7 linked regions of the Tribolium castaneum genome follow. The main gene of each other region encodes a partner of the protein of the gene in region 2 in a complex. Links are inferred from orthologs where the notes say so. Each region holds a gene or a part of one and is shown on either strand. Other genes may lie near its edges.

Region 1 (3,368 bases), about 2.3 Mb from region 2:
GGACGTAGGTTAGGTAAAATTAGCGAAGAAACGAATTCTAGAGTCTCTGTACAAATAAAACCCGTAAACGAAAAACCTCCAAGCGAAAATGCGACCTTAAGTAAGACCGCACGTAGAATTCTGAGCACTTTAGAACAATACAGCACTCCAATAAGCGACGCTAAAAAAATACCAGTCACGCCGAGAAGACCAGGATTGCTGTCGTCTTATGTCGGGGCAACTCCTTATCTAGTGAGAGACCGGAAACGGCCTTCGAATAAGGAGCTCCAAGTACCGTCCGTTCCTGATTTATTGCAGATGAAGCAAAAGGAGCGACTACAAAATAGCACAGAGACTGTTAGACAAATTGCCACAAAGTCGAAGTCGTCGCTGAATAAGGAAGAGTATAAAATCAGGACGGAGGAGGACAACAAGCAGAAACATAGCAATAAAATGAAGAGCAGCGTGGCCTCGGTGCGGCAAAAAGTGCCACCTATTGAGCCAGTCAGTGAGGTGAAATTGCCGAAAGTTTCACTCCCAATAAGCACCTTACCTAAGTTCGATTTCGTTTTAATGCCACCCAGCAATTCAAGCGAAACCACCAAGAATCAAAACGAAACTAAAACTCCCAAATCCCCGGTTAGTACTGTAATTAAACCCACGGTGATTGTAGATAAAAAAGAGACTGAGAAGAAAATCGTGGAAAATGGAAAGTCCAGTTTCACATTTTCCGAACCGTTAGTGATTTCAAAAGACTTAAAGTCTGTAACTGCGATCAATTGTTTCAAATTCAGCGAACCGGTATGTAAGAAACAATCAACGCACACAGGACTCATGTTTAAATCGGCCGAAAGCAAGAGCGAAATTAAACCAAAAAACAACGGCGAAAATGTCCCAAGTATCGCAAAACCGGCTAGTCAATTATCAACAGGAAGCGTAATGGATGTGCTGAAAAAGCCGCCGTCACAAAGATGGGAATGTCCGACTTGTCTCGTCCGAAACGACATCGACAAAGACAAATGTTGTGCCTGTGATGAGCCCAAACCTCAGCCCGAAAAGAAGGAAACGAAAGGGTTTGGCGAACAATTTAAAATGTCGAGTGACAAGTGGGAATGCAACTCGTGCATGGTGCGGAATAACAATTCGGATAAAACTTGCGTGGCTTGTGGCTCTTCCAAAGCAGGAGAAGACAAACCGGTGGCTAAATCCGGATTTGGAGATGCCTTCAAACCGCCTGCATCGACCTGGGAGTGCACGTCTTGTCTAATTAGGAATAAGAACGAACTGGAGAGTTGTGCAGCCTGTGGTGCATCCAAGACGCCCAGTGGTAGTTTTGGAGACAAGTTCAAGCCATCGGGAGACACCTGGGAGTGTGCTACTTGCATGATTAGAAACAAAAATACGGTGGATAAATGTGCGGCTTGTGAGACCCCTAAACCAGGTGCCAAGCCTACGAGTGTGAAACCCATGACAGCACCGATATTCTCCTTCGGTATCAAACAAGAGTGGGAGTGCAAAACATGCCTGATTAAGAATAAGAACGAACTGACGCAGTGTGCAGCCTGTGAGATGCCCAGAGAGAGTGAAACGGAGAAAAAAGGTTTTGGAGACGCTTTCAAGATGAAAGGAGGAGAATGGGAGTGTTCTTCGTGTCTTGTCAAGAATAAACCCACAGATAATGTTTGTGTTTGTTGTGGAGTTGCCAAATCTGGTGGGAAATCCTCGGATGTGACGACCGGGGAAAAGAAACCTTTAATTGGGTTCAACTTCGGTATAGATAAATCAAACGCACCCCAATTCAAGTTTGGTATACCGAGCACTAGTAGCGAACTAAAAGCTAGTACTACAAGTGCGCCACCTACATTTGCATTCGGCGATGCTGCGAAGTCGACTGCAGTAACAAGTAGTAGTTTTAGTTTCGGAATAAATACTCAGGAAAAAGTTACGCCAACAAATACTGTTACCTCAAGTGAGAACGTGACCGTCGCCAGTAATCCCTTACTTAAACCTAGCGAGAAATTGCCGGAGAAAGCAACGCCTGCGCCGGTTGGTTTCAAATTTGGCCTTGATAAGACTCAGGAGTCTGTAGTGACGAGTAGTAGTGATAGTACTAATAAAACGGAAACGCCGACTACTACGAGCAGTTTCGGAACGAAACCGGCTCCCATGTTCCAGTTCAAACCCCCGGCTGTGAACGGCGATATCAAGTTTGGTAGCGAAAATAAGGACAAACCGGTGTTGGCCACCGAACCGGTTAAGGAGAGTCCTTTCAGTGCCGAACCGAAGAATCAAGACTCACCTTTCGGGAGTAAGACGCAAAGTTCCCCATTTGCTACCGCCGCTAGCAAGCCCCAAGAGTCACCCTTTGGTACCCCCAGCAAGCCAACCGAATCACCCTTTGTCAGTAACAAACCTGCAGATCTCCCATTCGGAAGTGCAAGTAAACCGAGCGACTCACCGTTCGGCAGCGCCAGTAAGCCGAAAGACTCACTTTTCGGCAACGTGAACAAACCCTCAAGTTCTCTCTTCGGCAACACCGATGCCAACAAACCAAAAGAATCAATTTTCGGAAGCACCACCGAACCGAATAAACCCCAAGCCGGGTTATTCACCACTGTGGACACAAACAAGCCGCAAGAAACCCTCTTTGGAGGCGACGCCAACAAACCGAAGGAGGTGCTATTCGGCACCAAACCCACCGAAAGCAGTAACATATTCGCGGGTCCCTCAGCAACACCCACTTTCACTTTCACGCCAAAACCCCCCGAGAGCGCCCCGAGTCTGCCATCGGCGGCCCCAGCAGCCGGCATTTTCAAATTCGGTGGTGCCACCGCCTCGCCAAACCAACTTTCGACCAAGCGGGCTTTCGACGAGCCCGCTGACAATAACGTAACCAATGGCTTCGGTTCGGTTCCGAAAATTCCAGCCTTTGGGGCGTCCCAGAGCTTCGGGACGAGCGAAAGCAAGCCGTTTGCGTTCGAAAGTGCCCCCAAAAATGCGGGTTTTTCGTTCGGTCAGGCCGAGAAACCGAATACGACGCCCGTTTTCAATTTTGGGAGTGCAGCAGCAGGGGCGTCAAGTGCGCCAAATACAGGGTTTAGCTTCTCGGTGCCTAGTGCCGGGTTTAACTTTGGTGGTGCGCCCAAAGTGGAGAGTCAGCCGTTTAATGCCGGGGGGAGTGTTTTCGGGACGGCGGGACCAGCGGCCAAGAATGGGAGTTTCAATTTTGGGACAAATGCGAATAATAACAATCAGAAAGCGGTGTTTAGTTTTGGGGCTAATCAGACTAATCCGCCGCCGAGTCAGCCCAGTTTTCCCAGTCAGGGACAGAGTCAGCCGGGGTTTAATTTCGGAGCACCGACCGTAAGTTAATTGTTTTGTGATGGTGA
Region 2 (4,216 bases):
GTTTGGATGGCTTTCAAGAACGAATTAGCCAGCTCTTCTGTTTTGAATCTTATAGCCAGCGTTTCCGGTTTAAGGACGCCTTCAGAGAAGTCTTTCGCGCACCAAGTCAGTGCTTTGGGATTATTTGTCATGAATTTAAATTCCATGTTTTTGAGTAGTTGGTGGTTACAACACACTTTCAAGACTTGGTCTCGCCTCATGACTAGTCTGATGGTTGTTGCGTCCTTAAGCAGTTTGAAAACACCAACTCCTTTCTCCTTCCATACTTTCGTTTCTTCACTCGTGTCAAAACGGAGGATTTTCGCTCGGCTCTCAAACAAGACTTCGCAATTTTCTTCGCCAGTTTTGACTTCGACTAATTCGGGCAAAGGCACGACTGGTTTGAACTCAGCCGTTGGAACAAACTCTTCAGTCTCATCATCGACCGGTTCCTTAGCTTTGCCACCTGGGCTTTCACTTTGTTTCTGAACTGGTGAAAAGTTAGTTTGGAACGTGGGAAAACTCGTGTTTTTCGTAGAACCGAACACAAAGTTCGAGAAAGGACTAGCTTTAACCGGCTCCTCTTTCATAACAGGTATGACAACTTTCTCCTCCTTGGGCTTAAAAGTCGGCGTGCTCGTGAAAACAAAACCACCAAGAGAGGCGGGTTTTGGCGCCGCCTCTTTACTTTCCTCGGTGTCTAACCCCTTTTTGGCCGCTTCAAACACATCGTAAAACTTCTTCGCTTCTTCGGACGTCTTAAACCTCACACACAACTTCTCCAACACGACTTCTTCATCGGCGTAATCGTGCGCCGCCCAAATGTACGCCCTGTCACACTTGGCATTCGGAGTCAGCGCCATTTCTTTCGTAATAAAATGATTGGCACATATCTTATGCACTTGATCTCTGCGCATCAAAATGCGAACTTTCTTCGTTTCCGGGTTCTTCAAAATCTTCAAAGTGCCCACACCGCGTTCCTTCCACTCCTTAGTCTCGGTGACGTACCGGAACAACCTAGCGCGTTCGCAGAACAACACCACATCGTTTTCCTCGCCGGTCACAACCGGAACTTCGTCCGGAAGCGGAATAATCGGCTTAAAATCGGGACACGGGTCGTGTTCTTCAAGCGAACTCGTCGAAACGTTGCTCTTATTCAACGACTCGTTCTTGCTCGCATTGTAACTCTGTTCGAGGGTTTTTTCGATTTGCAAGCCCAGACTGACATTGACCGGGGTTTTATCCGACACGGCGGAGTAAACCGGCGGTGCGACATTCGACAAAATACTCTGAGTTGAAATGGCCGGCGGTGGTTTACTCAAAACTGACGGCGAGGTGTTGGGGGCTGTGGTGGTCGGGAGGGGAATTTGGTAATTGTGAGGTTGGCTTTTGGGGACGTTGCCTTTCAAATGTTGGGGCGGAATGGTGACTGAAAGGATGGGTTGGGTGGTCGTAACCTTGGGTGTGGGCAAGGGATCAGAGGCTGTAATAACAACATTCACAGGAGGGGCTTTCGTTGTGGGTGTCGTTGTGACGGTAACACCTCCAATCGTCGGGAAAACACTCTGACTGGTGGCTGGCGTGGTCTTAAATAATGGGTTAGGGGTGGAAATCCCTTGCGCCTGAGCCGTGAGTAGGTTAAGGCCAGTTTGGGGTGTAGTTTGGCCGTAGGTTACTGCAGGTTGTTGCACTTGTGACAAGGCGGCGGAAATCGCGCGGAAGTCCTGCCCGGAAATTCCCGGAATTTGTTCCTGAGGGAACGGCAACGCACCGCCCTGGGGCAAGCCTAGACCGCCGTAGGCGTACGCCATGGGCGGGTACATGCCCGGGTATAAGGGCGGAGGGCCATAGAGCGACGTTCCGGGCATTCTCGCCTGATAGTTCTGGTAGAAATTCGAATTGTAAGCCGCCAAGTTCGAATTTAAGTTGTACTCAGCACCGTATTCGTTCGCCAAGCCATAGATATCCTCATCACTTAACTGTCCAGTCTTGTTAACTTCTTTCCTCAACTCCGTCAGTTCCTTCTTCATTTCGTAGACCATGTCGGTGATGTTCTTAAAACTGTCCAATTCGTCCACAGACGCCTTCAATTCGTTCACCGACTTTTTCACGTCTTTCAACTCCTCGTAACTGTGTTTCACCGTCTTAAGTTCATCGACAGTCACCGTGAGGTTATTAACAGCGTCTTTGAAACTTCTCAACTCATCTACTAGGGTTTTGTGCGACTCCATCATCATTTTATTGTGTTCTAGAATATGGTTAATGGCAGCGTCTTTCGACGCTGTTAGCTGTCTCAATTGGGCATCGAGTCGTTCAGGGCTCGGTTTGGCCTCACGTTTGAAAAGATCGGACCGGTAAGGAGTGGAATGATTGTGATTTTCCGCCCTTGGTGTAAAAACCCCGTTAAAGTAACTTGAAGTATTGCCAGTGTATCCCGTTACGTAGTGATCACCGGTGCTATCAGGCGATGAGACGTTTTCGTCCGACATCCCATCACACTCATTCCTGTTGGTACAGTCCGGGTCAATTCTAGACAACAAGCGCTCGATTTTCTCAATCTCAGTCCCCAACTGTTCGTTTAAGGGGTGCTTCTGATCGACTGACGGTTCCCTAAGCCGATCCAGCGTCAAGTAGAGACAATCCCTAGCACGCGAGAGCAGGATTATATTCTGACTGCGCATCTCCGAAGTCACACTCTCCCGATTCTGACTCGTTTGTTGATCAGCCATGTGTTTGTAGATCTGAGCCTGGTAAAAACTCGCATACGGGTCTCTCAAAGTTTCGAAAATGCGCAACGCTTTTTCGTTCTCCTTCTTCTTCATGAGTTGGCAACCGCTGAATAATTTCGCGGCCTCGATATGGGCACAAATCTCAGTCAAAGGCATGTCTTTCGACTTGTAATTGAACAGTTTATTAGGGGGGTACGAAACCGCTTGATTGTTCTTCATTTTTTCCAAAATCGGTAACGCCGCTTTGTAGTACAGCTCGGCTCGCGCCTCGTTAAACTCAATCTCGGACTGTTTTGTCGTGTTTTTGGACCGTTCGGCGAATGTCTGTGCCAGTGTCACTAGAAGCTTGACGTCTAAACTGTTATCCACACACCGGAGAATTTTTATTCCGTCCACCAAAGTCAGTCTCAGTTGATCCAAACCGGAGTCGTATTCATTCTTGTACATTTTGTAGGCCGCCTTGAAGAAAATATTTTGGTTGTGAGTGCCCAACTCTTGCGTCACGGCGGCCGGAAGTACGTTAGGTTTGTCGAGATTGTAGTACGAAATGTGGCGCAGATTTTCCTGATTGTATTTGGAACACAAGGTGGCGCAGTAAATAAACGCCTGGACGTCCAACACGTTCAGAGTTTCGGCGCCGCAATTTTTCAGGTTCTTGATCGAGTATTGCAAACCTTCGAACACTGTGCATTTCAAATCGGATAGTTTGTTATTCAGTGCGATCCAAATGTGGTGGTGTAAAGAGTCGGGGAATATCAACTGTGCCTCTTCGTCGTATTTAAGCAATTCGCCACTTTCCGGCAACCTTATTGTGATTTCTAGTAGTTTTTGGTCGCTCAAAAAGTAACTTGTTTTCATTTTCAGTTGTTGGTCACGTGTGACGAACAATTTTTTAAACAATTGCTCTCGCCACATGCCCACTGAATACTGGTTGGCTTTCTCGATGAGTATCGACTTCCGGTCTTTGGCAGCCGCTTGTAAAACATGCCCGGCTTGTGAACACCTGAACGCGGCTTCCTTTCGCCACCTCCGTACCAAATTTCTGCGATTTTCAGGCGCGTGGTTGAACCACATGCTTTGTAGATCGGGTGGCTGTGAGTGATAAGCCGCGAAAAGTAGCGGTAGAGTGATATTTGCGGCTTCCTTGTACTTAATAAGATCTTTTTGTGCTTGTTTAAACACCAAAGTGACGAAATGGAAGCACAACTGCGCGCTGTGGTGATTCAGAAATTCTTGAATGAGGTGTTTGTCGGGACAATCGCCGATGTTGAGAGCAGCTTTTGTCAAAGTTTGGTCAAAGTTAAATATTGCATTGATGTATTCGGTTGTAGTTTTGATATTTTCGCTGGTTTCGGACAAAGTCAATGCGGCCAATTTGTCCAGAACGGAGACCGACAAAAACCAAAACTCCCAACCGAGCGAGTTAGGCAACGAAACCGTTCTTTGGTACTTGACCAAGACCTCGGCTACGGCTTCGTACCAAGTGACATTGCAAAAAATCGCCAAGT
Region 3 (4,880 bases), on a different chromosome or scaffold from region 2:
CATCCCCACAGTTACCCTTATCAACTGAAGGGTGCACAAACACGTCCTTCAACGATCATATTTTAAAGCCGGAACACCAGTCGGCATACTGGACTTTTACGACGACAACTTCCGCACCCATCAATAATAACACGGGAAACTTTTCCCTCGACGTCATCAACACCACACGAGCTGCACCTTCGTACGTAATATTTCCCTTGAAAATCACCCTTTTTGCACAACATGTAATTCTCCCTTACAGGGACCCTCTAACTCAACTCTATTCAGTGACCTACATGTACTACTCTCTCATCGGATGCTTCATTTCCATACTCATCGGTTGGACAGTATCCTATTTCACGGGTAGCGAAAGCGATTTGTACGATCAAGAATTAATTCATCCCATCGCTCGCAAGATGGCCAACTTTTTCCCTGGCAAAAAACGACGCTACGCAGAGAAAACCATCAAACATAAAACACGGAGAAATGAATCGATGAACCATTCGCCAAGTGCCACCAGTATGGATAAAAAGAGCGGAAATGCGAATCCCGCTTTCACTCAAGACGTACAAATGGAAGTGTACAGAACCAAATTATGATTTTTCTTTCTTCCTAGAGATGGATGTGAGAAATGGACACGGACTCGTGTTTTTAGTGCCTTTTATTTGGCAACATCTGTGATCTCTAGCTGATAAGATACAAGTGTTCGATTGTTGAATTATGCAAAGACTACTTAACTATTTTTATACCTTATTACATTGTTATTATTGAATAAGATTGTACAACTTGATACGCGTACGTGTTGAAATATTTATTTTCTTTTGTAAGCTTAGACTAGTGCTAACAACGAGTATTTATTACAACATTTTAGTACAATAATATTTAATTAATAATAAGCGTAGTGTTTGTTCAAAGAGTTTAAGCTACCAACGAAAATATAATATAAATAAAAAAAATTTTGTGGATTTTTGCCTCCTTTAAATGCCTACAACCGAAGTTATTGACAAAAAAAAACGCTCCAAGTACTGAAAAGTCGCCCAATATTTCCAGAATCTTAAGTCAATGAATTTCCGAAAATACAAATACATACCACTAATGTGCAGTAATCTAATTTTTGTTGAAAAGCGTACAATTTACCTCACTTTGTGCTTAAAATGTACTTTTCCTAACCACAAATGAATTGACAAATATTTGGAAAGTGATGTTTTTTACAAGTTTTCAAGAAAACTTGCTTTTTCACCAATTTCCAAAAATAATGCCCACAATAATGTGCAATAATCTAATATTTTGTTGAAAAACATGCAAGTTACCTTACTTTGTGCTTGAAACTTCCAAATTAACACTGAACTTCTAAACTAACACTTAACACTTCATTCTTCCAAATCCTGATTGTCACAGTAACTGAATTTAGGAATATCCGGGGAAAAACTGGTGTTTTTTTTCCACAATTTATAAAAAAAACGTAATTAAGGTAACTTTTTCACAAATTTTTCATAAATGTAGACAAAAAAGATCCGGGCACACACGAGAGACGCGATAATGGAAAAAGTGTTGCCAACCAAATTCACTGAATTTCCGAAAATAGTACCAATAATGTGCTATAATGTTAAATTTTGTTAAAAAAACATGCACCTTACCTTACTTTGTCACTGGAATCACCAAATTATGTAAAAATTACACTTAACACTAAGTAACATCATTTTTCCAAATTCAGTATTCACACATGATTTACAAATTTTTGAAAAAAACCGGTGTTTCCTACCACAATTTATAAATTGAACTTAATTAAGTTACGTAATTCAACACTTTTTTCACCAATTTTCCTTCAATTTGAACAAAAAACACGATAAACACAAACAGACGCGATAATTTGAAACAAATGACGATCGAGGAAAAGAAAAACTGTTACCAACCTGAATCTAGGGACTTTGCAACGCTCTGAGGCAACGCTAGACTTGTTTTTTGAGGTTATGCAACGGCTTTTTGTGTGTGTTTTTTATTAAAAATGGATAATGATTTGGAACGGTCGGTGCGTCTTCTCGAAGACGCTCTCCAGACCCCCACAAAAGGGCTATTTAAGGTCTCGACCGCAACTCCAAAGCGTGAAAAACCTAACCTCAGCTTTACAATAAACCCCGAAGACTTAACCGGCCTGGAATATGGAAGTGTTTATCAAAACACCTTGTCTTTATTTGTCGATGATGACAAAACGGTCACCGGGTCGGTGATCCAAGCAGGAACTCCATGGAAAAACACTGTTAATAATTTATATACAGAGTTTGCGGATATCCTGCAGGGGTCCACCGGAGGCCTTGATATCCTGGACGTGGCCGAAGACTTGGCGAGGTGTTGTAGTGACGCTTTGGCGGTGGTTAAGTCACTGAAAGCCAAAGTGGCCACTAGTGAATTAGCCGAAGAGAAATGGCTCGAAAATGAGCGGAATAATTGGAGACTGCTGTATGTCCTGTACCAGGATCGGATCCAGGCCCAGAACCACAGTAAGGAAGGGTTTGAGGAGGATTTCGGGAGCAGTGAAAAGAACTGTGTGTGCGAACTGTTCAAACGAGAGAATTTGGTTAGGGAAAGCCAGTTGGTGATCGATTGGCTCGAGAGGAACGCTCTGGAGAAGGGGGACCCCATTTTAATGCACTCAGACTGGACGTATGGATGGGAACACACTTTGCATCAATTGCTAGCACCTGATGCTATTGCAATTGGGAGTAATGTGGATATTATCAAGAACATACATCCAGATGCGCCACAGTTTCAGCGCTTATCGCTGCACCACTTGGATTACGACAATGACAAAAAACTATGTCAGAGAATTTTTATGGAAATTAGGTGCGGCAACCTTGAGGGCGCCCAGGAAGTTTGTGCTGTTTTCAGCCTTTTATTATTTATTCAATAATTAAATTTCAGTTATGTTACAACAGTGGTTATCCATGGCGCGCTGCGATGTTAGAAGGCTGGAAGCTTTTTCATAATCCCAACCTGGAAACAAGTCTTGAAGAGTATAAAGACGTAGAAGGGAACCAAAGGCGGGATTTGTGGAAATCTTGCGCATTAGATTATTGTCATAGGGTAAGTTTTTCGTTCCACAGCCTCTTTGACAGTTCGGGAACTTCGCTATCTTTTTTTTTGATACCATTGTTACTAGATAAACCGATGTCACTTTGGCAGTTGTAAAACATGTATTTATTTTATGTTTATTTATTTAAAATTTCTGGAAAATAATTAACCAAATTTAGGACTGAAGACGAAGTTTCGTATCTATCAAGGAGGCTGTTTTATAAATTTGAAAAAACTACTAAAAAATTTCAGTCAAACTTGAACATTTATGAAAAAGCCGCCATTGGTAGTCTTTGTGGTTTCTTGGAGGGCATTTTGCCCGTTTGTACCACATGGGAGGACCACCTGTGGGCCTACATGCGAACCATGGTCGATATTCGTGTTGAATCGGAAATTCGCGACTCAATCATTAAAAACTACATACCACTACCTGAAGAATATTGGGAACAAAAGAAATCATTAAGTGAAATTTTTACAATTTTGGAAGCCTCGAAAAATATTGACATTGCAAAAGAAGCGCATGAAATTGATCATGTAATTCAGAAACTTGTCATTTTAGACGAAATTCCCACACTGATACGCCTCCTAGATCAGTGGAGTGAAGATCTAAGTGTTACGACACAATCTCTTCGATTTTATGCTCACTTAGTTTTGTTTTTTGAAAGCGTCGGAGACTCCACTCATAGAAAAACGTGTGAAAAAATCGTCGAAACGTAAGTTTTCTTGGTTGTATAACTCGACTTAAGGCCGGGCGCTTTAGTCTCCCGGTATGGTGACTATAAAAAAATTTGTGTCTAGTGTATTTTATGTTCTTAATGTTGACCATAATCTCGTCAGAACTAAATTATTGCTTTTAATATTTTTACCACTTTTTTATAGCTACGGTATTATTTTTTGTTTTATTTGACTTCGAGCTTCTATAAAAAAACATAAAGTGTTTGCTACTCACCGCTGCGTTGCTTGTGTTTTAATATCATTTGTTTAATTAGATATATCGAGCGTTTGAGCGAAATGAACGAAACCCAGCTTGTGGCCTTCTACGTGAGCAAGCTGGGAAAATCCAAACAAATCCAACTTTACGCCAAACACTGCGAAAAACTGCTTTCGACTGAGCAACGCAAAAACGCCCTTACTTACGCTGAAGATTTCAGTTTGGACGTATTTGCTATAACGCAACAAATCGTCGAAATTATAACAAGCCGACCGTCTGAATCCGAACTTCCCGGTAATCTCCAAGGTAAAATCACCGAAATCGACGAACTCAAAATCTCCGCTATTGATTGGCTGATGTTTTACGAGGAGCAACGAGCCGAAGCATTGGCTCAAACCAATTCTATTATTTTCAAATTTCTGATTTTGGGCAAATTAGAAGCAGCCCAATTGGCAATCAATAAAATTCCTTACGATTCTATAGAGAAGATACGCAGCGAAGAGCAGATTCATCAGATTGTTAAGAATTATTTGAGTTATAAAGCGTATTTGGATGCACATGAGGCGTTTAACGAGTGGTTTAGACAGTATAGGAATAAGCCGATGCCACCACCTGAACTGCCCGAAAATGCACAATTTACTGAAAAAGTTGCTCATAATCATAAAGTCTCGCAGTTTAATGCCGAAGCGGAACGGTGGAAATTGACGACATCGCATTCAGCAAAAAGGGCCAAAACTTTATTATATAATGTCCTTTTGTTTCCTGAAGGGTGGCTTGAAGGAGGAGACGATGCTGAGTATCTGCGATCAATTTGTATTCCTCAGATTGTTTTACTATTGTATTCGGTTTTAAATGAGTCTGGACTGCACGAAGAAGCGGTGCAGTTGGCCGATTTAGTGGC
Region 4 (4,924 bases), on a different chromosome or scaffold from region 2:
TGTAAGCAAAAAATAAACAATATACGAAACTATTTATAAATAATCTGGTGAAAAGAGAAAAAATCACAGACTAAAGACTAGCATGAACTAAACATTTAAATTCGTTGTCATTAATAAACATACAAAGGAAGTTCTCGAGTTTTGTAATTACAAAAAGAAAATTTCTTCTAAACTGAGTACTTCTGATAATTTTTTCCACCCCAATTTCATAATCAATTGCTTGAATCTAGGTTGAATATAAAATTGGTTGCTGTTTTCTTCAATAAATAATTACAGATTCCTGTTTGAAGTTGCCAGCTGATGGCATTAAACTCAGGGCCAACCTGTCTCAAATTCCCGCTGAGTACTTTAGGAAATTATCTTTTATTAGCAACACCTTTATTATCACATTGAGTTAAATTAATGATACAGTTACAACCAACAAATGAATCACGTAATTCCATAATAAATGAGTGACAGATTCTACATAGAGAGAAATTGACATATTGAGAGGCTCTGAAGCTCACACTTAAAATAACCTTGAAGACCTGTACAAATCATTAACTCCGTTCCGGACACGACGTCTGTGGCATCCTGCCTTTGGCCCCCACGCCGTCCGCCCCCAGGGCCGTGTGCACCACGATGCTGGGCTGGCCGGGGGAGGGGGGGTGCACCTCGTGCGACGCCCCCGGCGTGAGGGTGGCCAAAGCTGCAAGAAGGTCATGATTGATAATGGGCTCACCTTCCGGCCGGGGCTCCCAGTCGAGGGGGGGCGACGCCGGCGGCGAGATTAGGAACTGCTTGAAGGGGGCTGGCGGCTGCAGGCTGGGGTTTTTGACGGGGGTGACGGGTTGAGCAAAGTAACACGTAATCACTGAGTCGTTGATTTTGTATTGGTGGAGCTGAATGCGGGCGCTGGCGGCTGCCACGGGCGTCTGGAAGTTCACTCTCAGTCTTCGGAAACTGCGCAGCCACTGGAATGTCACGTCCGGGTCGAAGTTCCGGAACAGGTTCTCCATTTCGCGCTTTTTCTCTGCAATTTTACGGTCAGATCGGGTGAGGGCTGGGGGCGGATTACCGGGCGAGGTGAAGACACTGTCGTGGATGTTGGTGACGATGAGGGACGTCGGCAGGTCCTCGAACTCGTCGTCGGTCACATGCTCGGGGCTGTCGATGTCGGCCTCCGCCAGCAGGTTGGGGTGCACGTTGGGAAGGCCGTCTTGGTCGTTAATGATGATATCGTCGTCCATTTCGCCGTTGCTTTCAGCCATTGAAAAATTGGATTAAATTCACCGACACAGGATCTACCGCGGTTTAAACCCCATAAAACAATGCGCACTTTTTCGGCTAAACTAATCAAGGCTAACTCTTACGCTACTAAATTTTAACACAAAAACATTGCAATATCAAAGTGCAAAAAACACAACCCAACAATTGCAAATGCCAAATGTCAGGAATGAATGACACTTGACAAGGGGATGAAAGCCGAAAGTTCGCCAGCCCGAATTGAAATACAAAGGAATGAGCTTAAAAAAACGTAAAACCCTGAAATGGATAGATTTCCAGATAATTAACATAAACACATGAGCGACTTTTTGATTTCGTATTTTTTTGTACAGAAAACGCTGAAATTTTGTGAAATTGCCGGTGTATAACCTAGGTTTGAAGTTTGACAGTTCTGTCAATTCGTTAAGTTCAATTTGTGAATACATAAAAAATTGTAATTACTATTTTTATATAAATACTAACGTTAAATTTAATGCAGTTATGGCATTTTCGTTCGGAAATGCAAACCAGTCGACTTTTGGAAGCCCGGCAAATAAACGTAAGTTTTAGAACCGTAAGAAAGTTAGGTTAAGTTCTTTCTATTTTGTTATTTGGTATTCACGGTTTTATTTATTTTCCCTTTAAACCGTAATTAATGAGATTTAATTTTGCCCAAAACGCCTGACTAATGTTTGTGTTCTTAATTTTTAACCAGAAAAAATCGAAAAAGTGGCAGCGTTTTGTACCATTCAGACTCAACAATACAAATCACCACACTTTTTACAGATAAAATGTTAATTGGTGTTTTAAATGGTTATAAAATTTAATTGTGATGATTGTTAACGTGTGAGTAACAATTCAACAATTTTTGTTTGAAACAAATCGCTAAAAAATGTTTTGTTTAGTGTTTAACTTAAATTTTTTGTCACGTCTGTGCTGCACAGTACACAAAAGTAATTTCATTACTTAACTGATAAAACATGAAAAACTGGACGTGTTCAATAAAAAACCTAGATTATAATTTATAAACCAAGAATTTATTTCGGCAATAACATTTTGAGGATATAAATAAACCTACCTAAGCGAGTAACAAAAATATAATGATAGTAAAATATAACAGATTATCACAAATATAATTAATACGATTTCATTCTTCCGTTTGAGATGGTAACTTGGCTCAAATCGGTTGCACAATCAAGCGATCCTGAACGGCTGGCTTTATATCGCTTATAAACGACGATAAGAATGACGATAATTAAGAGCAGACTGACGATTATAACTCCCAAAACAACGTACAAAGTTTTTCCCTCAACGTCGTATCCTTCGTAATATATTTGGTTCGAAACATCCGTAGTTGAAGAAAATACGTCAAGTGGGGTTGAAGTTGTATTTTGTGTACTGTTTTTTATTTCGGCCACTGCTGAAGTGATGTTGTTTTCAAAAATACCGATTGTTTCGGTCGTACTGTCGGTCACTTCGGTTATCACGGTGGTAATCGTTGTTGTAATATTTTGAGAAATCTCAGGAGTGGTAGCAGTTTCTGCAGTAACCGTACTGTTGGTTATTTCGCTGATGAGGGTAGTAGCTGGGGGAGTGAAACTCTGCCCAATTTTGAGTACGTTTTGATCGTCTGTGACTTGAAGGGTCGTTCCAAAACTTTTAGTAGCCCCTTTGATAGGAAATGAGAATAGCTAGAATCGGAATTTTTAAATCCAACTTGAAAAATAAAAATTAAACTCACCGTAGGGCCCGACATTGTGCTTTTTATTAGCGAAGGAAAAACACTTAACTCTGCAAGAACTTATCGGCGACTGAAAGTTTCTTTCCACGCTTTGAATTTTTATCGCTGGTGTTTATATGTGCGAACACGGTTTTCCTGCTTTCCTTCCATTCGCAGTAAAATAACAACCCGGGGATGAGTCACAAAATGCTGTTTAATGCAATTTCTTGTGGTTGGGATAAATAAAATCCGTCATTTTGTGATAACAAATTGGGAAAGCGGCACTGCAGTCGAAAAAAACTTGTTTTGAAATTATCTACGTGTTTAAATTCTTTTTAAAAAATTTGACTGGAATGACACTTGAAGGATTGAAATAATTTCATTTATTTCGTGTTTATTTCGTTTTTGCATAAATTTAAGTCTTAACAACAGCGTATTTTTTGCACGATAAGTATTCGCATAGTTCAAGTTTGACTTGCATTTTTTACCGAGGAGTAGTTTCCGTTTGGTCATTTCCCCGTAACAAATACTTTTTTCATGGAAATTCTTTTCTTTTCGTTGAAACAACCCAAATAGAAAAATAAATAATTTCAGGATTGTGGTTTCGTAGCCATTTCCTTTGGAAAACTACAAATTTCGCTGAATTTATTCAATTTATTCGATTTTTCCTGAATTAAAACGCACACTTCTTATCGTCTTAGATTATTTATTAATTTTTGTAAACACCTAGTCATAGTTTTATGTTTTTCCAATGTTTATCCACAGCCACCGCATTCGGTACCCCATTTGGGGTAACCACCACCACGGCTAGTACCGGCTTCGGCAGTTTCGGCTCTTCCTTCGGAGCCACTTCGCAGCCGTCGACCGGTTTCGGCTCAACTTTCGGAGCCCCAGCTCAATCTTCAGGTTTCGGTAGTACTTTCGGTACTCCTGCAACTTCCACTCCAGCATTTGGTTCGACTTTCGGAGCCCCAGCATCAACCTCAGCCCCGACATTCGGTACCGGCTTCGGTCAATCGACCGGCGGCGGCCTTTTCGGTACTTCCACAACCAAACCAACCCTTTTCGGAACTCCCACCACTTCAACCTCGTTATTTTCGACCCCTAGTTCGGCCCCCAGTTTATTCGGGAGCGGTACCACCACACAAGCCCCAAGTCTTTTCGGGGGGGTCACCACCTCGACTCCTAGTTTATTCGGAGCTGGCAGTACCCCAGCTCCGAGTTTGTTCGGTACTGCGACAACTTCGGCCCCGAGTTTATTCGGGACTTCGTTCGGGGGCACGGCCACCACTTCGGGGGGGCTGTTTGGGGGGAGTACAACAGGGGGAGGGTTTGGTTTATTCGGGGGTACTACTACGACGAGTGCGCCGTCGTTGTTTGGGGGGTTTGGGGCTACGCAAACAACAGGGGGGTTTGGGGGTTTTGGGACTAGTGGAGGGTTCGGTCAACAGACACAAGGGAGTTTGTTTGGGGGCGGGTTTGGGGCCAAGCCGGCACAACCTCCAGGTAAGTACCCGACTAGCAATTACAGGAACCTGTAATTTTTGTGTAGGGTTTGCGCAAAATGCGCTCACAACACAGCAACAACAAAACCAACTTGTGATCCAATCGATTTACGCTATTAATATTTATAATGATGAGAGGGATGATATTTTGAAAAAGTGGAATTTGTTGCAAGCTTGTTGGGGTACGGGGAAAGGGTACTACAGTGCGAATCAACCGCCGGTTGAATACACAGTTCATAACCCGTTTTATCGGTTCAAAGCAGTCGGTTATAACATAATTCCCGAACATGATAACACGGAAGGTATAGTCAAGTTGATTTTTAACCGGAAATATGCCGAGCTTAGTTCACAAAAGCAAGTTCTAATCAATGGACTTAGTGGCATTTTGGGTAACAAACCCAACCTCAAGGTCACCATCCAGCACATCAAAGCCCTCTCTGATACACAATCCGAG
Region 5 (4,656 bases), on a different chromosome or scaffold from region 2:
AACCATCGAAACACCCAACTGCGAGGTGAAAATGTGGTTTATTGAGGCTTGAACGCTGTCGATGGGCTCCTCTGGCTGGATTTGGTACTCGATTCGGAGCAATTCGAGGATTTTGTGGATGGATTGGTACAAATCGGTGCAATCGCGCACCATCTCGGCCACGTGCTCGGTGAACTAGAGCACAAATCGGGCGGTTTTTGCTTAACTATTTACGCGAGATCGAAAAAATACGCGAAAGCTCAAAAACTACAATAAATTGCAGTGCTTTAAATAATTTTAAAATTCTTCAAGAGTTTTCCGTAAATGATTTGAGCAGATATCAACAGAAGCAGCTGTCATTAAAATTTTCTGTGATATAAATATAAGAATGGTTCGCCAGGCGCCACGGTAAAAGTACCAGATAATAAATTGTAAAACGTTTTTTAGGGCTCAAAAGCCCCAGAATATTTTTTTAACATAAAAAAAGTACGAACCTCGGTGTCCATCTCGCGCTGGATCTGCTCAAGGAGAGCCCCCATGACGACATCAGGCGACTTCAGCAGTGCCAACTCTCGTTCGAACGTGTACGCGAAAATCTCACTCATCTGCGAATCCAAATAATTAATGACCTTGAACAAACTGATCACGTCGTCTGTGATATCAACATCTGCAAAAAATGAACCAATCACAATTGATTAATTAACTGTGCGGTTTAATTACTCTCAGACAAGAGGAAATATTTGGTGAATTGGTCCCTAAACATGTGGTCGCTTTCGTAGATGAAATGTTCAAAAATATCGAGAGGTCGCAAAAACGAAATCATGGATTTTTTCAAAAGTACGGCCCCGGAGGAGTTTGGAAGAACAAGGAGGCCTAAAGGTTTAAGTCCAGCGACGTGGTATTGGACGCAACAGGAGTAGAATTGTTGCCAGCAGTAGCTGGCGGTTTCGAGATAATCTTCGTCGCTGACGACGGTTTCCTTCAGCTCGTTTTGGACCTCGTCTTCGACGGCCATGCAGATCTGCTGCTTGAGATGGGCCGCCGAGAGGTTCAAGTCGCTGATGACGGCCGAGCGTTTGTAAATCTATAATAAGCAGTTGGTGTGACAAAAAACGCGCAATAATTTTTATGTATATTTTTTAAATAAAAGGTTTGAAAAGCAACAATTTGTTATTTTGTCGGGTCGCCAGGAGTCACATTAATTGTGCCTCAACCAAATAAGAAACTAAGAGGTTTAGAGAAAAACAAATGGCACATTTTCGAAAAATACAGTAAAAAAATCAGCTTGACTTGAAAACTTACGTTCAAAGCCTTGCTGATTATATGCAAGGGGAACCTGCCCGGGTGGAAGATGTGCTGGAGGTAGCTCTGCCTGGGATCCGTCTCCCCGTCGATGCTCAACGGTTGGCTGGCGTCTGGCACATTTTCCAGAACCACGGGAATCCAGTGACTCCCCGCCTGGTTCGAGGCCGAATACACCTCACATTGGCCCTCTTTTCCGCGCCAAACCGACCAAATCCGACTTGTCGAGATCGTAAAATCGATCAAATCGGTCTAAAACCCCAAACTTACCCCCTATCACTTATCCCACCTACGACTCACCTGAGCCAAATCAAGTATATTAAGCCTCACTAGCCGAACCTGCGAGCCACTGAGCATCGGCTTGAACACATGCAACTGACTCTTGGCTGCGAAACTCATGAAAATACCCAACAGACACTCAGAATCAAACCCATCGACGGCTTTCCGCAGGATGTGGTTCTGAGCGCCTTGCAGCTGGTTTCTGGCGCCGGTTTCGGCCATGACGTCGATCACTGAGACACATTCGGCCTTTGAGCACGACCAGAATTTCAAATGACCGTTGCGGCAAAGTGTCAAAGCGAAAGTTTCAAGACCGAAAGTATGTAAAATGAGGCTGACGGTAGTGTCGCCTTCTTTGTCTTTTTGGCTGCAAAAAAACCGTCAGTTTTCCGGGCCGGAAAAAATGAAGGGTTGTACCGCAGCTTGTCGGCGAGACCTGAGAGAAAGCGGGGCACGATTGACTCGCTTTTTAGCTCAGCTGAGTCGATTTTGCCCTCGGGGGACTGTCTCAGAAGGAGGATCTCGCCGGAGTGGTAGGCCAACACGAAAATTGCTTCCTCCTCAGCGAGGGTCAGGGAAGAGGCGGCCAGATATGGCAGCTGAGAACCTTTAAATAAGGGTTCATCTAGTCATGAGAAGTCCAATATTTTAAATAATCATGCAAACGTATCTAATTTTGCCATTTGGCAAACCTATTTAAAAAAAATTATGATTTGCTCGTTACGACACTCGTCTCCGGCTCGTGACTTAAAAAATTACAAGACCTACTCGAATTGGTGAAAAAGTGGAATGTGGCGGGATCCCTCGCCTCGTTGGCCGTAGCTTCGCTGAACACCGACGGCGCCGCCAGATCTGGGTGAACCCCCGCGACATGGTCCTGCCGGTGGTACTTATCCGGATGCGGAAACACCAACCTATGGACGCTGCACACCGTGGGCACCAGAACCACCACATTATCGTACGTCTCATGGATGGAAACCCCGTCCAAAATCGGGGTGTCCACAAATTTGTATCTGATGCGATTTCCGGCGAGATTTATATCGAGACTGTGCTCCACGAGCTCCAGGACATCGTGGCTAATCCTCCAGTAGATAAACCGATTCCTGGTGTGGTGTCTGGTCGAGTCGCGGTAACAAAACCCGTTGGCCCTTTCCGCGACTTTGATATCTTGAAGCGTCCCTTGTGTCCCCCCTGTTACATAACCTCAGTTTTACGTAATCGGCGATTTTTGTGATATTACCCGTGTTGAGGGTGATTTCGCGCCAGGGATCGGACACCGTCTGGTCGGGGATCACCTCCCGGTACCCCAACGCGATTTCTTGCATGGTTTTAGCCCGTTTTAACGGTTTTTTGTGCAAAAGTTAGGTTAGGTTTACGGAAACAAAAAATCAAGGTCGGCGAGTGGCGGTTAGATAATTTTCAAACTCAGGTTAACTCGCCACCAGAGGGCGCGGGGTCAGAAAATAAGACAAAATTCTACTTATTTATTTATTTATCGTACATTTATAACAAAAATAACATTTATAATACGTGGAGGGATAATATAATAACTATGAGAATAGCTTGGTTGAAGTGAATGATGCTAGGAGGAGTAGAACGCTGCTGAAGCCAATGGAAATAGCTGAGTTACAGGGTTTGCGAATTGCTTGGAAAAATCGGTTGTTTAACGACTCAAAAGCGGCGAAATCGGGACAACTACGGGCTATCGCCTCACTGAAGCACTTCTTGGACGCTTTTAAGTCACTAGAATCAGAAGAAAGATGAAAAAGTTGGGTTTGTAATCATGGGGGCACCTACAGGCACAGGTCGTCTTTCCGGACCACGTCGCTAAACCGAGCGAATAGTTTAGTAAAGCAGTTTCCAACTTGTTGCCCCTCTTGGTTGAGTTTCAAGTTTTGGCGGCAATCTGCCCCTTGGGTACTGAAGAAATCTGTATTTTCCTTGATAAAAAATAGTTTTCAAAATTTTAAATCTTACTTTCGATGGTTCTTTGGGAACACACAAAGTCGAGAAATGAGGTGAAGCTTTCAACCATGAACTTGGGCAAATACTTCTCGTCTTTGGGCAAACACGGTTTGACATCATGGGCAAGCTGGGCGGCTAGACGGGCCAGTGTGGGCCTTTCGTCGTTGCAGAACTGCTCCTTACCATTGGGCAATAAACTCGCAGCGTACGAAAGATAATCGCCAAATTGCCCCAAATGGGTCTTTATATCATCGTAAGCCGAAGCGTCTGTGCTATAAACCCGACACCTATCATAGATAAACCTGGAGATTTTGTCAGAGGAGTTCCCCTGCTGGCCCGCCACACTCGCCAAAACAAGCCCTGAAAAGTTTCGGTCAAATATTGCGTAATTTCGAGTGGGCTTGGGTCAAAACAAACGAACCCATGTGTCACATTTTCCAAGCCAACCATGACCTACAAACAAAAATCTCACCTGCAACAACGAGGAAACTTGTAATTTTCATGACCAATCCTGGAAATTGACCTTTTGAAGTGTGCACTGCGGATTATTTATACAGACGCTAGAACGTCACGCGACCTTCTATTTCTCTTCAAACCAACATTTTAATGAAAAGGAACAAGTGCAATATGTGCAGAAAAATATAAACTCGCGGAACCCATTTTGTTGACGCGATGAATTGGGGGCTGCATAAAAATGACCGATTCGTCATCGGTCAACGAAAATCCGCGCACTTTTCGAGGAAATTCACTTATGTTATGACTCAATTTGCTACAAATTCTTAATCGATAAACGAATGAGAAAAATGCGCGTTTAACGCGAGCAACCGCTGACGCGTGCTTTTTACAAAAATAAAACAATTAAAAAAATCTTGTTTCCAATTTTCCGAATTTAAACTTTTTTTTGGTTTTTTTTTCATGATTGGTTAATTTATTTAAAAGACAAGTGGTTTTAACAACTTTATATTCATCTAAATACAAAAACTGTAAGTACATAGGTACACAGAAAAATAAATAGAGCACAAGTATCATGCGTCATATTAATTAATTAAGCTCGAGTAATTAGACTCAAAACCACCCCAGTTGCGACCGCAGCGCCACTAGCCAGCAGAACGCCGCCTTGATTGCACTCCA
Region 6 (4,227 bases), on a different chromosome or scaffold from region 2:
TTTTCCGCTTTTTGTTCTTGACATTTTATCGTGAAATCTCATTAGAGGAATTCGGCGAAAAATCGATCCGATTTGTAATTTACATACTAAAATATACGATGGGTTTGTCGTCGTAAATCCGGGACTAGGAAATTTTTTAGGGCCAACTACGTGATCGGTCCTAAGCTTTCACCGCTTATTACCAATTAGTTTGGTCAGCATGTAGTAAACATTGCCTAAACAGCATGCTAGAGAATTAATCAATTGATCACAAATTAAACTGACGTTCAGTTTTTATCAATGGTCCCAAAACGTGTAATAATACGCGTTAAGTCATGTTATGCAACGAATTTGCATGCGGAATTTCGTGTTAATTAACGGGGAAACATGATCTTGGCTTTTTGCGTGTGCTATTTGCCTTGGCAGTGAGCTACAAAATTTTATAATTGTTTCGTTCTACAAAAGAATTTATTTACTCGCAGTTGAATAAAATGAAGTTACGACTACAAGGATGCGAACTGATTGACCCAGTTTGTTTAAATTTCTATCGTGTTGGACTGCTCCAGACTGCATGTCTAGTGCAAATTCTTATCAGACTTCAACAAATTGATTTTTATTGTGCTCTGAATCATCTAAAGAAGGCTCGATTTTTCATAGTTTATAAACGGAACGAAATCAACTAGTCCAAACCAACTTAATGCAATACGAGTTGATTAAGTGCACTACTATTGAACATTAAATGGAAAAATATTTACATAAAATATTTACAGAATTTAGATATGGATGTGAGCCCTCTGTTCGCCTAAAAATATTTTCAAGTTTCTAGCTTTACTCAGAAGAAAAATATGAGGAAATGAAGATGTGAACACAAATTTGCTTTATATTAATTTTTGAATTTTTTTACATAAACGTCTTTTTTACAGTGAAGGCTATTCCAAATCAAAAAAAAAACTTTCGGATTTAAATTCAGCTAAAAAAATTACATCAGAATCATATTTCAGTAAACGTGTCAATTCTGTTAAATAGTTCTTTATTTTTGATTCTTTTTTAAGTTGTTAATAATTACGTTGCATTTCTCAAACTATCATAATCATTAATCACACAGACATTCAAGATATAGAATATTGCTTTTTTATATTGTTTTATTTTAAAATTATAAAATGTAGATATAGAAAAAATAACTTTTTATGGTACATAATAAGGCATACTAAAAGTATTTAAAGCAAATTTGGAATTCTGTGTAATTATTTAGCTTGTCATGCAGTAAAAATATACTTTTGCTGGGACACCCTGTAAAATTTGTTTTTAAATTTTATAGATGAACATAAAAACCTTTTATATGCTTTTGTACGGTCATCATTTAAAACATAACTTGTTTGTAATTTAAACGTCGTCTACCTACTTATACTTATAAGTTTTTTTTTGTAAAATATGGTTTTGTTTTTTAAGTAGCACTATACAAACAAATACTTTTAAGTTCGTAATGTGTAGCTTTAGTTTCTAATAAACAGTACTTAATTTTTTTGTTTCATAAGGAGCTAAAAGTAAACTACAATTAACGTTTAAATTGCTTATTATACTGATTTATGGGTCTGGCACGTGAAGCATTATTAAAGTTTAAAATAGCAAAGAAGTAAATAATTTCTTTCCATAAATTCCATTACTAGGCGCTTTAAATTCATTATTGTTGAAGTTATTACTTTCCTGTGTAATGGATTTTTAAATTATGATTTATCCTTGACTAGAATAATAAAACGTTTTCACGACTGTGTTTATAATTTCCTAAAAATTTTTTAATAAAATCAAGTTGGATAAGTTCCCGGTCAAGTTGCATCAAGCTGTTCCTCGGAGCGCCATCTCTGTGTGGGAAGAAAACATGCGGCTTGCGAACTGGTCTACGAACAGTTTTCGTTTTTATGGCATTTTACTTCCAGGATTTGCATTAATTTAATCCCTATTATTAGTACTATGGGACATATAACACGAATTAAGCTCAAATATCTTAAATTTTGTTAGGTCACAGAAATTATTATTGATTTTACTTGTATGAATCGCACCGCTCCCTATCGGCCATTTTATCACCATTGCAAAGACTTGTTTATTTTCAAGCTTATTCAAACATTTTTTCGTCAAACTCGTAAGACATAATGTTCTTTGCGTAACGGAAGCAACAAATATAACACTTGTGCCTAAATCACGTGAGTAACAGTTCAATTTCATTTATAAATGAAGCGGTTTCGGTTAACTGACGCCCCTAACCTTAGTTTTTCAGCAAAATGACTTTTATGTCCGTTGCTCATTACCTACAACTTGTGGAAAGGTATTGGCGGTCTCAGGACGGTGCAAAAGTGGCCAGTTTTCTGTCTCTTCGCCACGAACATGCAGGTTATGCCAATTACCACATTGAGAGTCCTGAGGGAATAGTTGAGCGTTTTTTGACCGCCCCTATCGACGAATTAGTGATTTTGCACCTAAAATGCCTGTTTGCCATAAGCCAGAGTGACTATCTATCGGCTTATAACATTCAGAGCAATTTGACGCAAACTTTCACTAAGATCTTGCAATCGCAAAAGGAGGAGAATTGGTCTTTGCCTATTATGTATGTCTTGTGCTTAGACTTGCGTCTTTTGGCGCAATTAGCCGAGAATCAGAGGAGCGGAATTAATGAGAAGCCCGGCGAAATGCTCGAGAAGGCAGCAGAATGCTTGATGGGTTGTTTCAGGGTGTGTGCTGCTGATAATAGGTCAGCAGAGGAGGATACAAAGAGGATAGGGATGTTGGCTTTGGTGAATCAATTGTTTAAGGTTTATTTTCGGATAAATAAGCTACATTTGTGCAAGCCCTTAATCAGAGCGATTGAGTCATCACCGTTTAAAGAGAGTTTTTCTCTGAGCCAACAAATCACATATCGGTATTTTGTGGGGCGCAAGGCTATGTTTGATAGCGATTATAAAGTCGCCGATGAGTATTTAACTTATGCTTTTGAAAATTGTCACAAGCTCAGTAAGAAGAACAAAACGCTTATATTGATTTACTTAGTTCCTGTGAAAATGTTGTTGGGGTATATCCCAAGCAAGGAGGTTCTGGAGAAGTATGACGTCATCCAGTTGTGGGATTTAGTACAAGCTGTATGTCAGGGTAATCTCAAAGCGTTTGACGAGATTATGGAAAAGCACGAAACCTTTTTCATCAAGTGTGGAATATATCTGATTGTTGATAAACTGAAAATCATAGCATATAGAAATTTGTTTAAAAAGGTGTATTTGATTCTAAATACGCATCAAATCCCTATTGAAGCACTGCAGACTGCTTTAGTGTATTTAGGACAGACTGATGTTGATTTGGATGAAACAGAATGTATTGTTGCTAATCTTATTTATGAAGGGAAAATTAAAGGATACATTTCGCATCAACATAGGAAGGTTGTTGTTAGTAAACAGAATCCATTTCCGCCACTTACAAGTCTATCATAATTAAGTTTTTATAAGTTTGTATAATTCGTCGTTCTCTACCTGCATTGTAACTATTTTGTAATTGCATATGAAATAAACTGTTAAAACTACCCGTTTTTTGTGTTTTATTAAAGCATAAACGTAACGTCTATAAATCTCTATACTGCGAAGTGACTAAGCGACCCTGCTGTCATAAGAAAAAAGCTAAATGTTGTATGCATAATAAAAACCGCATTAAAAATGTTTATGGAATTTTTATTTTATTAAAAATTGCTTTTGTTATTCGAAGAGGTCACAACTACAGTTGTTTTTTTTTAAATTGCTCAGATTTAATCTCGATACGAATCGTTTTGAAAATCAATAATGCATATTAAATCACCTAATGATTATGCCCATATAGGTAAAAAATATTCGTTTAAGCTTTACATAATAGATACGAAGTTAATACCGAATACATCCTTTAAATGTACTGTAAATATTATATTACATATTGCGAAATTTTGCACAAAAGGATTTATTTTCCCATAGGTAACTTTGTTACCCGAAAATTAAACTCATACATTTTATATGGAAATTTTATCATAGTCAAAAACTATTTAGTTTTTTATTATAAATTATTTCCAAACAAAATGTCACTATTATATAGTTGTTAATCCATTCTATGATTAAATAATTTTTTTACAAATCAATATTTCCACAAAAATTTCATTTTACCTAATTTAATAATTCTTCTCAAAAAACGTATTTAATAAACGCCGGAAAATGCAATAAAATTTGTATTTCTGTATTGTTTAAT
Region 7 (4,336 bases), on a different chromosome or scaffold from region 2:
ATTCTGTTTCTGAGAAACAGCTTGCAGATATACGACATGCGAATTATTATTTGGAGTCACAAATATCGCAAGCACACTCCGCTTTAGATGAACAGTGGGAAAATTTCCAGGATTATTGCAAGAAGAAGCACAAAATACAGATTCCGACGATGGAGATGATTTTCCAAACCATGGTGAAACAAAACGCAATTTTGCAAAAACAAGTAAGGCAGTTGATTGACTTGTAGGTTTCGTTAATTATTTCGTTCGTAGAGTTATATTTTGAAAGATATAGCCAGTAGGATTAAAAAAAAGTCGCGATCGGCCGTTGGTCCTTCTCTCCTTGTTCCTTTTGATGATGTTAAAGACCTGTCCGAGGATTTGAAACGTTTGAGGATGAACCCTGAAGACATCAGCCAACTTCAGTATGAACACGTCATAAATCGAACGAAAAATTTCACGAAAAAGAAAGTCCAAGATTTGCGGACTTTTCTCCAAAAAAGAGAATATCCACATATTTCATTCGTGAAGCCTCAATTGGCCAGTTCCGTAATCCAAACTCCGCCAAAACAACTTAGTCGGCTTCCCGAAAAAACTTCAGTTGCACCTCGGGTTCTCGATTTTGCGCAGTCAACTCCCAAACCCACTGTGCTCAAATTCGACTCCACGGCAACTCCAATCGAAGGTTTACAAAATTTAGCCCTTAAATTCGAGGCTAAAAATTTCACAAATTTGCCCGAGAAAACTTTCACGCCTTTGACTAAAAACGTGATTGCTGGGTCTCCAAATTCGGCTTTTGTCTCAACTTCGGTTTCTGCATCAGCAAATACTTACAAACCCACCTTCATGGCTGCAACTACAGCCGTGACAGCGTCTATTATTAAAACAAGTCCCAGTTTTGTGGCAGTGACTAGTACTGCAACCATGCAAGCACCTAAATCGTTTGTTAATTTGTCTTCCCAACCAGTTACTAGCAGTACCCCAAAGGTGGGGACAAACCTCTTTGCCACATCTTTGCCTAAAACTACATTTTCGTTCAGTTTACAAACTACTAGTGCGGCGCCCATTTTAACAAGTAGTGCAGCGACTACCAAACCCAGTACGTCTATTTCTGTTTTTAATCTATCCACGAGTGTTAGTACTACCGCGGAAAGTACGATTTTTACGAAAACTTCTACTCCGTCATTTGGTATTGCTACCACCACAGCACCAACCTCCACCCAGTTTTCGTTCGGTGGCGCTACTAATACTTCAAGTATTTTCGGTGCAGCAACACAAAAAGTGACCGAAGCTGCGACATCGAAAACCTTTACGTTTTCTACAAAGCCAGTAGTTACTTCTGCAACAAGTACTCCAAATGTGGTGGTTTCTGCCGTTTCCCCCGTTGCTAGCAGTACCCAACGTTCAATTTTCCCTACGACTTCTGTAACAACCAGTCCTAAAACAACGCAAGCTGTCTCGAGTCCAGTCTCAATCCAACCCACTTTTGGTGTAACAGCTCCAAATTCAGTTAGTACTACCAGTGGCACTCCATCAACTCAGTCCTCACCGTTTTCATTGGGGGCACTTAAATCATCTATTTTTCCCTCACCGGCTGTTCCTGCCGTAACTACAACACCGAAAATCGCCACCAGTGCGGCCACTGTTGTTACTACAGCTGTTACAACTACCGGTGTTACAGCTCCTGTTGTTACAACAGTCCCATCTTCAACTAGTATTTTCTCAACGCCAGCAACAACTCCATCAATTTTCGCTTCGCCAGCAACAACTTCAACAATTTTCTCTTCGCCAGCAACAACGTCATCAATTTTCTCTTCGCCAGCAACAACTTCATCAATTTTCTCTTCGCCAGCGACAACTTCATCAATTTTCGGCTCTATTGTTAGTAGTACTACTCAGTCTCCAACCATATCTTCAGCTCCGCCCACAACTGGGTTTTTCGGTGGTGCTCTTTCAACTAAACCACTCTTTGGTGGTACCGAAGTTAGCGCCTCGAAACCGTCAATATTTAGCAGCACAACTGCATCAAGTGTTTTTGGGGCTGTTGCAACCACGGATTCAAACGTTTCGAAACCATCCATCTTCGGAGCCCTGCCATCATCCTCCACTACAGCTTCTGTCTTTGGTACTGTTGCAAGTACCGATAGTAATGTATCAAAGCCGTCAATTTTTGGCAATGTTTCGTCAAGTACTTCACCAGCGACTGTTTTTGGCGCTACCACACCTACCACTCAGATTTTTGGTGGTGCTACCCCTTTGTCTACTAGTTCATTTGGGGCTGCAGCTACGACACAATCGTCAATTTTCGGCTCTCCCACTACCCCAGTTTTTGGAACTCCTGTTGGTACCACTCAGTCGACTTTTGCCAGTCCTACAACGACAACTCAATCTCAAGGGTTCGGTCTTTTTGGAGACGCCGCCCAAAAGCCTTCCCTATTTAATGCAAAACCAAATGCGACTCAACCGTCAATATTCGGAAGCACACAGCCGTCGATATTTGGTGGTACCACAACTTCTTCAACGTTCGGCCAAAGCCAGCCCTTCGATGGGAGCAAAAATACAAGCGCTTTTGGTCAAGGTTCTGTTTTTGGTTCGTCAGGTAGTACGAACGTTTTCGGGGGTTCAGCACCCGCTTTTGGCCAAACGGGTGGTTCCGTCTTTGGAAATGCACCAACTACGAGCTCTGGGAGCATTTTTGGGGCAACGACTACAAGCGGAGGTACTTTCGGTACTAGTGGATCTTTATTCGGAGCACCTGCGTCCACTGCCCCCTCACTTTTTGGGGCACCTGCATCTACGACTCCCTCTATTTTCGGTTCGTCGAATGTCTTCGCCCCTGCCACTACTCAGTCCGGTACTTTCGGCACCAATACCAGTTCCGGAACGTTCGGTTTCGGAAGTCTCAATGTTTCAACGACTGCAAGTTCGGGTTTCGGTGCACCTGCGAACCCCTTCGGGGGCGATAAGAGCGTTTTCGGAGCCTCTCCAGTGTCGTCAAGTGGCTCAGTTTTCGGTTCCAGTGGTGGATCGCTCTTCAGTAACACGTCCCAGAGTTTTGGTACCGGTTTCGGGAACCAATCTTCCTTCGGCCAACAGTCGTCCTTCTTCGGGGGTAGCAGTTTCGGTCAGCAACCTGCGGGGCCCTTCAGTGGTGGGAGTGGAACTGTGGGACAAACCGGGTTTGGGGCAGGTCAGAGCTTCCAAAAACCGGGATTTGGGGCAGCTCCCGTTTTCGGGGGATCGCCCAGTTTCGGGAGTTCGCCTAGTTTTGGAGGAGCGCCGGCGTTTGGCAGCCCACCGGCTTTTGGGAATACTTCAAAGGTGTTTGGGTCCTCAAGCCCCGGGTTTGGGGCAGCTGCTAGTACCCAGAACACAGCTTTTGGTAATTTAGCCAATCAACCAACAGTAGGGTTTGGGAATTTGGCACAGCAAGCTGCCAACGCCCCAGCGCAGAGTGCGCCGTTCTCTGGGTAAGAATTTTTAAACTGATAAATGGCATAGTACATTTTTTTTTGTAGGAGCTCCTCATTCTCCAGTTGGCGTTAATGAAGGAAAATGTTTTACGTTAAATTTTGTAAGCTGAAACTAATAAATTTTTTTAAAATTAATTTTATTTTTCACTTAAAACACATAATTATTTCTGAAAATGTGTACACTATTGTCGCACCCTCCAGAGACCAGATACTTGTTATTGGACCAATCTACAGCTAGGACTTGCCCTTGGTGTCCCTCTAAATTATAAAGTGGGGCTTTAGGGCTTCTGGAATCCCACAATTTGACACCAGAATCGTATCCTCCCGACATAAAAAGGTGTTCATCGTATTTTGACCATTCAATTGAACTGACCCATAGCGTATGTGAGGTGAAAGTAGTCTTGACCACTGAACCCTCTGAAGACCTTGGGTCGTACAACCGAATATGTCTATCAGCTGAACATGCTAATAATGTGTTAGATAGGGAAGACCAAGAAGAATCCAAAAATGCCTTCTGGCCAACTATTTCATTCTTGATACCACACAACTCAGCATCCCAAAATTTAATCGTATGGTCCATTGACACAGTGCAAATTACATGGTTGTCAATCCAGGAAGTCGAAGTTATGGTTTCTTTATGGCCTTTTAATGTGTGAATGGGGGTCCTGGTAATCAGATTTTTGTCTCCTCTTACTTTTTTGTGTGCAGGTTCGTCGTCACTTTCAAACGATGAGGACCAAATCTTTAGGTTTGTGTCCCATCCTCCTGTTGCAATTTTAAGACAGTTGGGACTAACCCCCACACTGTCTATCCCTTTTTCATGACCTTTTAACACAACTTGAGGTTTTATCTGATCTGTCCCAGGCTCCCACTGCCACAGCAGT

The links.
Region 1: E3 SUMO-protein ligase RanBP2 (region 2) and Nup153 share a complex: the UniProt entries of both Drosophila melanogaster proteins name them as parts of the nuclear pore complex. The link is inferred for Tribolium castaneum from reciprocal best matches to the Drosophila melanogaster genes Nup358 and Nup153.
Region 3: E3 SUMO-protein ligase RanBP2 (region 2) and Nup107 share a complex: the UniProt entries of both Drosophila melanogaster proteins name them as parts of the nuclear pore complex. The link is inferred for Tribolium castaneum from reciprocal best matches to the Drosophila melanogaster genes Nup358 and Nup107.
Region 4: E3 SUMO-protein ligase RanBP2 (region 2) and Nup54 share a complex: the UniProt entries of both Drosophila melanogaster proteins name them as parts of the nuclear pore complex. The link is inferred for Tribolium castaneum from reciprocal best matches to the Drosophila melanogaster genes Nup358 and Nup54.
Region 5: E3 SUMO-protein ligase RanBP2 (region 2) and Nup160 share a complex: the UniProt entries of both Drosophila melanogaster proteins name them as parts of the nuclear pore complex. The link is inferred for Tribolium castaneum from reciprocal best matches to the Drosophila melanogaster genes Nup358 and Nup160.
Region 6: E3 SUMO-protein ligase RanBP2 (region 2) and PCID2 share a complex: the UniProt entries of both Drosophila melanogaster proteins name them as parts of the nuclear pore complex. The link is inferred for Tribolium castaneum from reciprocal best matches to the Drosophila melanogaster genes Nup358 and PCID2.
Region 7: E3 SUMO-protein ligase RanBP2 (region 2) and Nup214 share a complex: the UniProt entries of both Drosophila melanogaster proteins name them as parts of the nuclear pore complex. The link is inferred for Tribolium castaneum from reciprocal best matches to the Drosophila melanogaster genes Nup358 and Nup214.

Annotation. Positions count from the first base shown.
Region 1 is NC_087394.1:31,194,506-31,197,873, reverse strand, and holds part of Nup153 (nuclear pore complex protein Nup153), read left to right. Parts: coding exon 1-3,342; intron 3,343-3,368. UniProt on the Drosophila melanogaster protein: Component of the nuclear pore complex (NPC), a complex required for the trafficking across the nuclear envelope. Functions as a scaffolding element in the nuclear phase of the NPC.
Region 2 is NC_087394.1:28,914,554-28,918,769, reverse strand, and holds part of E3 SUMO-protein ligase RanBP2, read right to left. Parts: coding exon 1-4,216. UniProt on the Drosophila melanogaster protein: E3 SUMO-protein ligase. Component of the nuclear pore complex (NPC), a complex required for trafficking across the nuclear envelope.
Region 3 is NC_087395.1:26,509,408-26,514,287, forward strand, and holds the start of Nup107 (nuclear pore complex protein Nup107), read left to right. Parts: upstream 1-1,894; 5' UTR 1,895-1,984; coding exon 1,985-2,848; intron 2,849-2,898; coding exon 2,899-3,060; intron 3,061-3,300; coding exon 3,301-3,761; intron 3,762-4,037; coding exon 4,038-4,880. Other genes in the region: sodium-coupled monocarboxylate transporter 1, read left to right, coding at 1-181, 242-578. UniProt on the Drosophila melanogaster protein: Plays a role in nuclear pore complex (NPC) assembly and maintenance. Required for nuclear import of Mad. Mediates the association between the nuclear pore complex and a subset of active chromatin regions adjacent to lamin-associated domains.
Region 4 is NC_087397.1:2,066,447-2,071,370, reverse strand, and holds the start of Nup54 (probable nucleoporin Nup54), read left to right. Parts: upstream 1-1,646; 5' UTR 1,647-1,746; coding exon 1,747-1,804; intron 1,805-2,260; exon of another isoform or gene 2,261-2,936; intron 2,937-2,986; exon of another isoform or gene 2,987-3,730; coding exon 3,731-4,471; intron 4,472-4,517; coding exon 4,518-4,924. Other genes in the region: sra (protein sarah), read right to left, coding at 540-1,012, 1,058-1,250. UniProt on the Drosophila melanogaster protein: Component of the nuclear pore complex (NPC), a complex required for the trafficking across the nuclear envelope. Essential for the nuclear import of nuclear localization signal (NLS)-containing proteins in an importin alpha/importin beta-dependent manner.
Region 5 is NC_087395.1:25,113,829-25,118,484, forward strand, and holds the start of Nup160 (nuclear pore complex protein Nup160 homolog), read right to left. Parts: upstream 2,982-4,656; 5' UTR 2,886-2,981; coding exon 2,801-2,885; intron 2,752-2,800; coding exon 2,329-2,751; intron 2,168-2,328; coding exon 1,978-2,167; intron 1,928-1,977; coding exon 1,582-1,927; intron 1,534-1,581; coding exon 1,282-1,533; intron 1,064-1,281; coding exon 700-1,063; intron 647-699; coding exon 474-646; intron 175-473; coding exon 1-174. Other genes in the region: uncharacterized protein LOC655733, read right to left, coding at 3,111-3,303, 3,358-3,490, 3,538-3,885, 3,998-4,028; uncharacterized protein LOC103314347, read right to left, coding at 4,571-4,656. UniProt on the Drosophila melanogaster protein: Functions as a component of the nuclear pore complex (NPC). Involved in poly(A)+ RNA transport. Required for nuclear import of Mad. May play a role in double strand break DNA repair. Essential for nephrocyte development.
Region 6 is NC_087397.1:8,459,802-8,464,028, reverse strand, and holds PCID2 (PCI domain-containing protein 2), read left to right. Parts: upstream 1-2,022; 5' UTR 2,023-2,177; intron 2,178-2,243; 5' UTR 2,244-2,255; coding exon 2,256-3,452; 3' UTR 3,453-3,541; downstream 3,542-4,227. UniProt on the Drosophila melanogaster protein: Required for the export of nuclear mRNAs and involved in mRNA trafficking in the cytoplasm.
Region 7 is NC_087398.1:6,201,087-6,205,422, reverse strand, and holds the end of Nup214 (nuclear pore complex protein Nup214), read left to right. Parts: coding exon 1-203; intron 204-252; coding exon 253-3,449; intron 3,450-3,497; coding exon 3,498-3,525; 3' UTR 3,526-3,587; downstream 3,588-4,336. Other genes in the region: ribosome biogenesis protein WDR12 homolog, read right to left, coding at 3,601-4,336. UniProt on the Drosophila melanogaster protein: Part of the nuclear pore complex. Serves as a docking site in the receptor-mediated import of substrates across the nuclear pore complex including emb, RanGAP and phosphorylated Mad. Protects mbo/Nup88 from proteasomal degradation at the nuclear pore.